2 linked regions of the Canis lupus familiaris genome follow. The protein of the gene in region 1 purifies or fractionates together with the protein of each later gene. This does not show direct contact. Links are inferred from orthologs where the notes say so. Each region holds a gene or a part of one and is shown in the gene's direction. Other genes may lie near its edges.

Region 1 (4,289 bases):
GCCCCTCCAACCCCAGGATGCGGTCCAGGTGGCCCCATGGCACCCCTCGGGACAGGGGGTGGGCCCTGCTCCGTACCATGCAGTCCATGAGGATGAACTTGAGATTGTCTTCGTTAAACGCCTGGTTCCCGTTGCGGTCGTAGGCGGCCCAGATGTTGCTGGCGATGGCCGCGGTGACCCGGGCGTCCGTGTCCCCGTAGCCGGAGTAGGCCAGCAGGGACCCCTCATTATTCAGCAGCCTGGCGAGCGGCGGCAAGGGATACAGATGGGCTGGGGGCGGCGACAAAGGCGGCTGCGCTCTCAGCCCGCCTCCCGCCGGGCGCCTCGAGAAAGCGGGGGTCAGGGCAGAGCGCGCCCCCCAGACCCTCCCTCCCCGGGGTCCTCCCCGGTCGCACTCACAGCGTGCTCTGGACACCGCCGGTGTTGGCCTGGCTCAGCACCTGGGTCAGAGCCTTGGGACGCAGCATGCCTGCGGCTCCCAGGTCTGGGCTTCCACGCCAGCCCCTGAGCTGCCTCCCGCGGGCCTCCGCGGGAGCCTCCCCGAACTCCGGAGGTCCCGGCCGGGCTCGGGGGCGGCGACGCAACGCCGCCACGCCATTCCGCCGCGGGGGGCGCCGGGACTTGTAGTTTCATGCGGCCTCGCGGCGCACCCCGGGAAGTGTAGTTCGCCTTTCCAGGGGAACCACGCGGTGGTGGTGGGGGGCGGGAAGAGCGGGAGCGAAAGGACCTGGCAGGACTGGAAGGACGTTTAACACCCCCTACCCCCATCCCGGGGAAAGAAGAGTCAGCATGCCCGCTTTACAATCCCTGACCACTAACTGAAAAAGAAATCCCAGTATTGGTCAGGCACACGTTCGATTACTCTTCAGGGCAGTTTCCTACGCCGTGCACAACCCTGGGGGTCGGGATCGGGGCTCAGAAAGTCCACGCCGGCCGAACCCAGCCCACGCTGGCTCCCTTGGGAGCCGTCCTTAGCCAACCCCGTGCAGGCCACGACCCCTGGGGGGACGGTCGGTCCCAGAGGTGAGACTCTGGGGGGACGTCCAGGCATGAAGGACTCCGGCCCGGGAGCCCCGAGAATGGGGCGGCCACGGGGACTGCGTCAGGTCCGGGAGCCTGAGTCCCCGCGTAGGTGGCGGGCGGGGATGGTGGAGCGCCCACGCTGGAGGCCAGAGGCCCGCCCCGCCCAGAGAGGCCCCGCCCCCGAGAGGTCCCGGCTGCAGTGCCCCCACCAGGCCGCCCGGGGCGCTGTGAGCGCAACTGGTCCGGAGGGCGGCGCGGCCGCGGGAAGGGGAGGGGAGGGGAGGGGAAGGGAGAGGAGGGGAGGGGAGGGGCCGGCAGGGCAGGGGAGGGCGGAGGGGCGGAGGGGCGGAGGCCGGAGCAGAGCCCGCCGGGCGGGCGGCCGAGCGGGGAGGAGGGGCCGGGGCGGGCTGGCGGGCGGCCGGGTGGCGGCGGCGGCATGGCGGAGCCGAGCGGGGACGAGGCCAGGCCCCCCATTCGGGTCACCGTCAAGACCCCCAAGGACAAGGAGGAAATAGTGATCTGCGATCGGGCCTCCGTCAAGGAGGTAGTACGAGCGGCGAGGGTGGCGGAGGAGGGATCTGCGGAGAGGGGTTGGCCCCGAGGCGGGGGGGGCGGGAGGCCGGCGGCGGAGGGGGCGGGGGCCCCGCAGGCTCTCGGAGGGGCGGGGGGGCAGGAGCGGGGCTGGGGGGCCCCCTGGGGGGGCGCTGGCCAACGCGGCGCGTGCGGCGGATGCCAGGCCGGGGCTGGCCTTGTGGCCTGGGCTGGGGGCGTGGCGGAGAGCGGGGAGGGGGCCCCTTGCAGCGGGGAGGGGAGAAACACTGGGGATGCGGGCCGCGTGCGTCCGGGGGCTGGCCGGGGTTCGAGGGGCCGCGGGAGGCGGGGGCGCCCGGGGGCGCCCGGGACTGGGGCGCGGGGTGCTGGGGGAGCGTTTCCCTCCGCCCTGATCCGTCCTACCTTTTCAAATCAAGGCCCTTACAGTTGGCCCTCGCCCCTCCGGAACTTGCTGTGTGCAGTAGGTGCTCAATAAAAGTGTGTTGACCGAGTGAATGAGGGAACACCTCCTGTGTTCGCCACCCCCTGTGGCTGCTCCAGAATTTCACATGGGCGGGGCTTTAGAGAGGCCATCTGGTTGGAAGGCAGGGATCTGGACGCTGCCTTGGCTTAGCAAGTGCACTCTCTTGACAGAGAGTGGCCTGTTTGACGTGTTTGGGCTTGGTTTGAGGGAGAGCTAGTAGATTTGGGGGCCTGCCTCTCCTCAAGCCAAACTTTAGTGCCATCACTGCCCCCCTGGAATGTGAAATGACCACATTCCAGAGTGTGCATCCTCTGCCCTGCAGAGCTCAATTTGGAATCAGCTTTAACCGAGTGGAGAGGCCGAGTGTTGGGTCAGGAGCCAGGGCTTTGGTGTCAGGACCCGAATTCCAGTCTGCCCAGAGTGAGTTACATAACTTCTCTGAGCCTCAGTTTTCTTCGCCTGAAAGTGGAGATAACGACCCATGTGTATCTTATCAGTCTGCGACCCTTCACTTCTGAATGGTCGCTGCTCTTAGCGATGATTGTGGGGTCCGTGTGTTGTCCTTGTTACGAGAAGGCTGGGCCTGGGCAGAGAGACCTGGTGGCTAGAATGGAACGCTGCAGGGGTCAGGGTCTGAGTCCAAGGTTGCTGAAGGAGTTGGGACCAAGAGAGCCACCAGGGCAGTGCTGTCACCACAGGGAGCAGCGGGGAGGGACTGAGGGGAGAGTCACAGGGAAGGCTGGGCCTTCTAGGGTGGGAGACCCTGGGGTTGAGCCCAGGGGAGCCTGTCACTAGTCCATCTCTGGTTAATGAAGGCACAGCTCACTGCAGCTGGATGGATGGAGTCTATACTGCAGAAGGGACTTCCCGAACTAGAGGCAGGGTCCCTGGTGGGTGGGGCCCAGGGAACCTCTGCAGTGACCTCTGCCTCTTGACCACAGTTCAAAGAGGAAATCTCCAGGAGGTTTAAGGCTCAGCAGGATCAGCTGGTCCTGATCTTCGCAGGCAAGATCCTCAAGGACGGGGACACACTGAACCAGCATGGGATCAAGGATGGGCTCACTGTCCATCTGGTCATCAAGACCCCTCAGAAGTAAGTCCAGGAGAGGAGTAGATCCAACTTCTCACTGGGCCTGTTTTCCTCCTCTGGTACTCACATTCTTACCTGTCGCTCACCTACCTGGAGGGCCATGCCAGTGCCCAGGAAGGTGGCCCTTGGACGGCTCCCCTACAGGGGAAAGGAACCTGATGTAGCTCTCCCAGAATGCTGGCAGATGATACTGCCCCCAGCGGCACCCCTGTGGCTGGGGGAGCCCCCTTACCCCCCTACCCCACCACCACCTGGCCCAGGGTTGCTGAGAAGGTGGTGGCATTAGGGCAGTAGCTGCACCAAAAGGAGATCCTTGTTCTCTCCTTCCTGTTCACTTCAGCTTGGACTTTATCTCTCTGTCTCTCAGGGCTCAAGATCCAGCTGCTGCTACTGCTTCTTCCCCCTCCACTCCAGACCCTGCCTCAGCACCCTCCACCACTCCTGCTTCACCTGCTACCCCTGCACAGCCCTCCACCTCTGGCAGCGCCACTTCAGATGCTGGCAGTGGAAGCCGGAGGAGCAGTGGGGGGGGTCCCTCCCCTGGGGCTGGGGAGGGACCCCCCAGTGCTACTGCATCCATACTCTGTAAGCCCTTAGGGAGGAGATCACAGTCCTGTGTGGGGCTTGGGCTTAGGGGAGAGCCAAGAGGAGACAGAAACACGGTCCCTGCTCCTAGTCTGATGGGGATAGGGGACCCCTGGACATGGAGTTCCAGACACTGGTACTTGAGCAAAGCAGAGGAGGGAAAAACTGGTCTATGAGGCCCTCCCAGAGGAAAAGAGCATGGATGAGTGTAAAGGGGGAGGGAGGAAATGGGATTGCGGATGTGGGGAACTCGGGGTGAGGATATGGGTGTGCAGGGACCAGGGGGATCCAGCAGTGACCAGTTGGGGAATATTTATTGCTCGTTCAGCAGGCCACCACGGTCGGTCGCCCTCTCTGTGCACAGTGCTGGGCTTGGCTCTCAGCGTCTGCTGCCAGAGAGGTCTTGGTTGTTGAGGCTCCCATCTCTGCCAGCAGTGGGGCAGGGCTGGGGCCAGGGGAAGGATTGGAAAGGGAGATGTGAGAAGCAGACAAGGCCCATCTGGAGACCTGACCAGTGGCTGTGGCCTGGCGGGGGCAGGGTCTTGTGGCACACTGTGACCCTGGCCCCTCCCTGCA
Region 2 (4,327 bases), on another chromosome or scaffold:
TGGAAGTCCTTAGTCTTGGGATCATTAGTCTTGTAGCTCTACTGGTAGCTGAATATTTCCTATACCTTTAAGAGCTCAACTTTCATCAGTTAAATGAACTATGGGCAATTAGAAGTATAAATTAAATTAGCCAAGTAACTTTTGACATCCATGTCATCTCTACAGAATTGAGTCCATTTCACACTCCCAACAATGGGGAAGTCCTAGGCTTAAGATATCTAGGTATTGATAGAAAGTTAAATCTAGTGTATAGGATGAGGGTGCAAAGCCTGATAAGGGAACTTGAAGGTATATAGTAATTTAAAGATGAAAACCAATCATTTTTGCTAGAGATAACACTTTAAGATGGTAATTTAAAAAAATTTCTTAAGCTATAATTAGTATTGAGACAAATTGAACTTTTACTTGAAATGTGATGCGCAGGAGCACCGGGGTGGCTCAGTGGGTCAGGTCTCCGGCTCGCTCTGGCTCCCATCATGATCTCATGGGTCTTGAGATCGAGCCCCCATGTGGGGCTCTGCACTCAGGAGGGAGTCTTCTCCACCCCCACTCATGCTTATTTGCTCATGCACTCTCTCTCTTTCTCTCTCTAAAATAAAATAAATCTTTAAAAAAATGTGATGTGCATTTAGACTTTGCTTTTTTGAAAGTAGTTTCCTGCACATAATGACACATCGTGTCAAAATGGCGTATTTTAGTACAACATATTTTTCTCTGGGCAGAAGACAGACTTCTGAACCACCTAAGTCACTGCTTAAGAAGAAACAGAGAAGTATAAATGACCCTATTATAAAATATGCACTAATTACACTTGAACGAGCAAGGTGAAACAGTTCAGAGTACAATTAGGGATAAAATTCTATATAATAGGATGGAGGTTTGGAAACAAGGTTGTGTGTGTGTGTGTTTGTGTGTGTGTGTGTGTGTGTTCAGGGGCGTTCTTACTTCAGTTCTTAAACACCTGTACTTTTTGAAAACCGTCCTTTCAGCATTTTGCTTAGGCATGCATCCAGACACAGGCCTACCCGGCAAGAATTGCCCTCATTTATCAGACGGATAAAATAAGCAGAGGCACTTAGCATAGACAGTTTTTCGAGTCACATGGTGGGGCAGTGGTTGAGCAAGTTAACCTGTCCTTTGCAAGTTAAGATTGCCATTTACTGGGGACATCGGCTCTATTGCTTCTAAGATTTACCATATCTCAAGAAAATTGTGAGACTTGTTTGCAGGGGGAAATGGGACAGGAAGAGTTTGAACTTATTTTTTTTTTTTTTTTTAATTTGGAAGAGTGCTAGAAAGATAGGAGACCTTTTATCTTATTTTGACTCTCAACTGGAGACAACTATACATTTTAACTCATACTTTACAGTCTGTGATCATTTAGTTGTCTTTCGTTTCTTTTCAGGTGGTGCCCCGGCAACATGGGTGACTGGAGTGCCTTAGGCAAACTCCTTGACAAGGTTCAAGCCTATTCCACCGCTGGAGGGAAGGTGTGGCTGTCTGTCCTTTTCATTTTCCGAATTCTGCTACTGGGGACAGCGGTTGAGTCGGCCTGGGGTGATGAGCAGTCTGCCTTTCGTTGTAACACTCAACAGCCTGGTTGTGAAAATGTCTGCTATGACAAATCCTTCCCAATCTCTCATGTACGCTTCTGGGTCCTGCAGATCATATTTGTGTCTGTCCCCACACTCTTGTACCTGGCTCATGTGTTCTACGTGATGCGCAAGGAAGAGAAACTGAACAAGAAAGAGGAGGAGCTCAAAGTTGCCCAAACCGATGGTGCCAACGTGGACATGCACTTGAAGCAGATTGAAATAAAGAAGTTCAAGTATGGAATTGAAGAGCACGGCAAGGTGAAAATGCGAGGGGGCCTGCTGCGAACCTACATCATCAGCATCCTGTTCAAGTCTGTTTTCGAGGTGGCCTTCTTGCTGATCCAGTGGTACATCTATGGATTCAGCTTGAGTGCCGTTTACACTTGCAAAAGAGAACCCTGCCCTCATCAGGTAGACTGCTTCCTCTCTCGCCCCACGGAGAAAACCATCTTCATCATCTTCATGCTGGTCGTGTCCTTGGTGTCTCTTGCCTTGAACATCATCGAACTCTTCTATGTCTTCTTCAAGGGTGTTAAGGATCGCGTGAAAGGCAAGAGCGATCCTTACCATGCTACCACTGGCCCACTGAGCCCCTCCAAAGACTGTGGATCTCCGAAATATGCATATTTCAATGGCTGCTCCTCACCCACGGCTCCCCTCTCCCCCATGTCTCCTCCTGGGTACAAGCTGGTTACTGGAGACAGAAATAATTCTTCCTGCCGCAATTACAACAAACAAGCAAGTGAGCAAAACTGGGCTAACTACAGTGCAGAACAAAATCGAATGGGCCAGGCAGGAAGCACCATCTCCAACTCCCATGCACAGCCTTTTGATTTCCCTGATGACAACCAGAATTCTAAAAAACTAGCCGCTGGGCATGAACTGCAGCCACTAGCCATTGTGGACCAGCGGCCTTCCAGCAGAGCCAGCAGCCGTGCCAGCAGCCGACCTCGGCCTGACGACCTGGAGATCTAGATCCAGGCTTGAGAGCATTGATTCCACTCAGTGTGGAGAAGAGAAAAGGTGCTGTAGAAAGCGCACCTTAGGCGTTCATTTTGTTTCAGTGGAGGTGGTACTCAACAGCCTTCATCGTGAGGCTTAGAAAACACAAAGACATTAGAATACCTGGGTTCACTGGGGGTGTTTGGGATAGGCGGGTGGAGAGGGAGGGGAACCGGGAGGTACAAGTTGGTATTTAATGTAGTTTATTCAAAGAACTTTAGTTCTAAATATAAGTTGCATTAGGTGATACATAGGTAAGGGCTTTTTCTCCCCCCCACACACCCTAAGAATAGTGCTGTATATGTGAAAGAGTGGGTGATATATTTGGTTAAGTACTTTTTTGTTTTACCATGAAACTGAGATAACTTTGGCCGGGAAAAAAGAAAAATACTTCCTGGACATCTTGTTTCCTTTTATCAAGAAGAAGTTGGAGGATTGTCCTTATGTCCCTGCTAAAAAACATTCCATTGTTAAAATTTGCACTTTGAAGGTAAGCGTCCTAGGTGGGACCCTCCAGGTGTCTGTGGACTTGTGATACTATATTTTCTATTCTTGGTATCAGTTAAAAGTTCAGATAGGGCCCACAGAAAAAAGACTTTCCATGCATTTTCAAATCTCAGCCAGTCATATGTACATTATTTTTTTTTAACATCTACTTGCATCCTATTAATGCCATCACTTTTTCATCATTCCTCAACAACTGTTCACATTCATTTAATGGTTTCTGTAAAGATTTTTAAAACCGTGGGGATATCACTTAACATTTTTTGAATTAGAGTCAGGGAATCAAGCCATGCTCAATATTTAACAATCACTTCTATGTGTATGTGTGTGGAAGAGTGTGTTTTATTTGTCATGTATTGGTACAAGCAGAGCAGTATAAACTCACAAACACAGATTTGAAAATAATGCACACATAGTGTTCAAATTTGAGCCTTTCTCATGGATTTTGTGGTGTGGGCCAATATGGTGTTTACATTATATAATTCCTGCTGTGCAAGTAAAGCACACTTTTTTTTTCTTTCCCTAAGTGTTTTTTTCCCATGTATCCTATTGTGGATACTGGTTTTGTTAATTATGATTTTTTCCCTTTTTTCTCTTTTTTAGAATATAGCAGTAATGCTATTGCTGAAATGGATGATTTTCTTTTTCTGAAATGTAATCATGGATGCTTGAATGATAGAATTTTAGTACTGTAAACAGGCTTTAGTAATTAATGTGAGACACTTAGAAGAAATGCTTAGAGTGGGCTTTTAAGTGTGCCTAAATGAATTTTGCAGTAACTGGTATTCTTGGTTTTGTCCTACTTAATACACATTAATTCAGAACTTGTATACTGTTAAGAGTTAGATTGTCTTTTGGAATGACCAGCAACTTTGATGTTTGCACTAAGATTTTATTTGGAATGCAAGAGAGGTTGAAAGAGGTTTCAGTAGTACACATGTAACTAATTTATTTGAAATGTACCCTAAAGAAATCTACCATGTAACTAATTTATTTGAAATGTACCCTAAAGAAATCTACCAGTTTCTTCAAATGCCTTTTTAAAACTCATCAGAGATGATTAGTAAAAATGCGGAGTATCATACTTTTCTTCTTGCATGTCAGCTACATAAACAGTTTTGTACAATGAAAAATACTAATTTGTTTGACATTCCATGTTAAACTACTGTCATGTTCAGCTTCATTGCATGTAATGTAGACCTAGTCCATCAGATCATGTGTTCTGG

The links.
Region 2: the proteins of UBQLN4 (region 1) and GJA1 purify together in Homo sapiens (affinity purification with western blotting; 3 studies listed by BioGRID). This does not show direct contact. The link is inferred for Canis lupus familiaris from reciprocal best matches to the Homo sapiens genes UBQLN4 and GJA1.

What each region holds. Positions count from the first base shown.
Region 1 is NC_049228.1:41,748,126-41,752,414, forward strand, and holds the start of UBQLN4 (ubiquilin-4), read left to right. Parts: upstream 1-1,405; 5' UTR 1,406-1,459; coding exon 1,460-1,567; intron 1,568-2,979; coding exon 2,980-3,131; intron 3,132-3,495; coding exon 3,496-3,713; intron 3,714-4,289. Other genes in the region: ragulator complex protein LAMTOR2, read right to left, coding at 77-239, 400-467. UniProt on the Homo sapiens protein: Regulator of protein degradation that mediates the proteasomal targeting of misfolded, mislocalized or accumulated proteins.
Region 2 is NC_049222.1:61,513,733-61,518,059, forward strand, and holds the start of GJA1 (gap junction alpha-1 protein), read left to right. Parts: upstream 1-1,405; 5' UTR 1,406-1,421; coding exon 1,422-2,570; 3' UTR 2,571-4,082; intron 4,083-4,124; 3' UTR 4,125-4,327. UniProt on the Homo sapiens protein: Gap junction protein that acts as a regulator of bladder capacity. A gap junction consists of a cluster of closely packed pairs of transmembrane channels, the connexons, through which materials of low MW diffuse from one cell to a neighboring cell.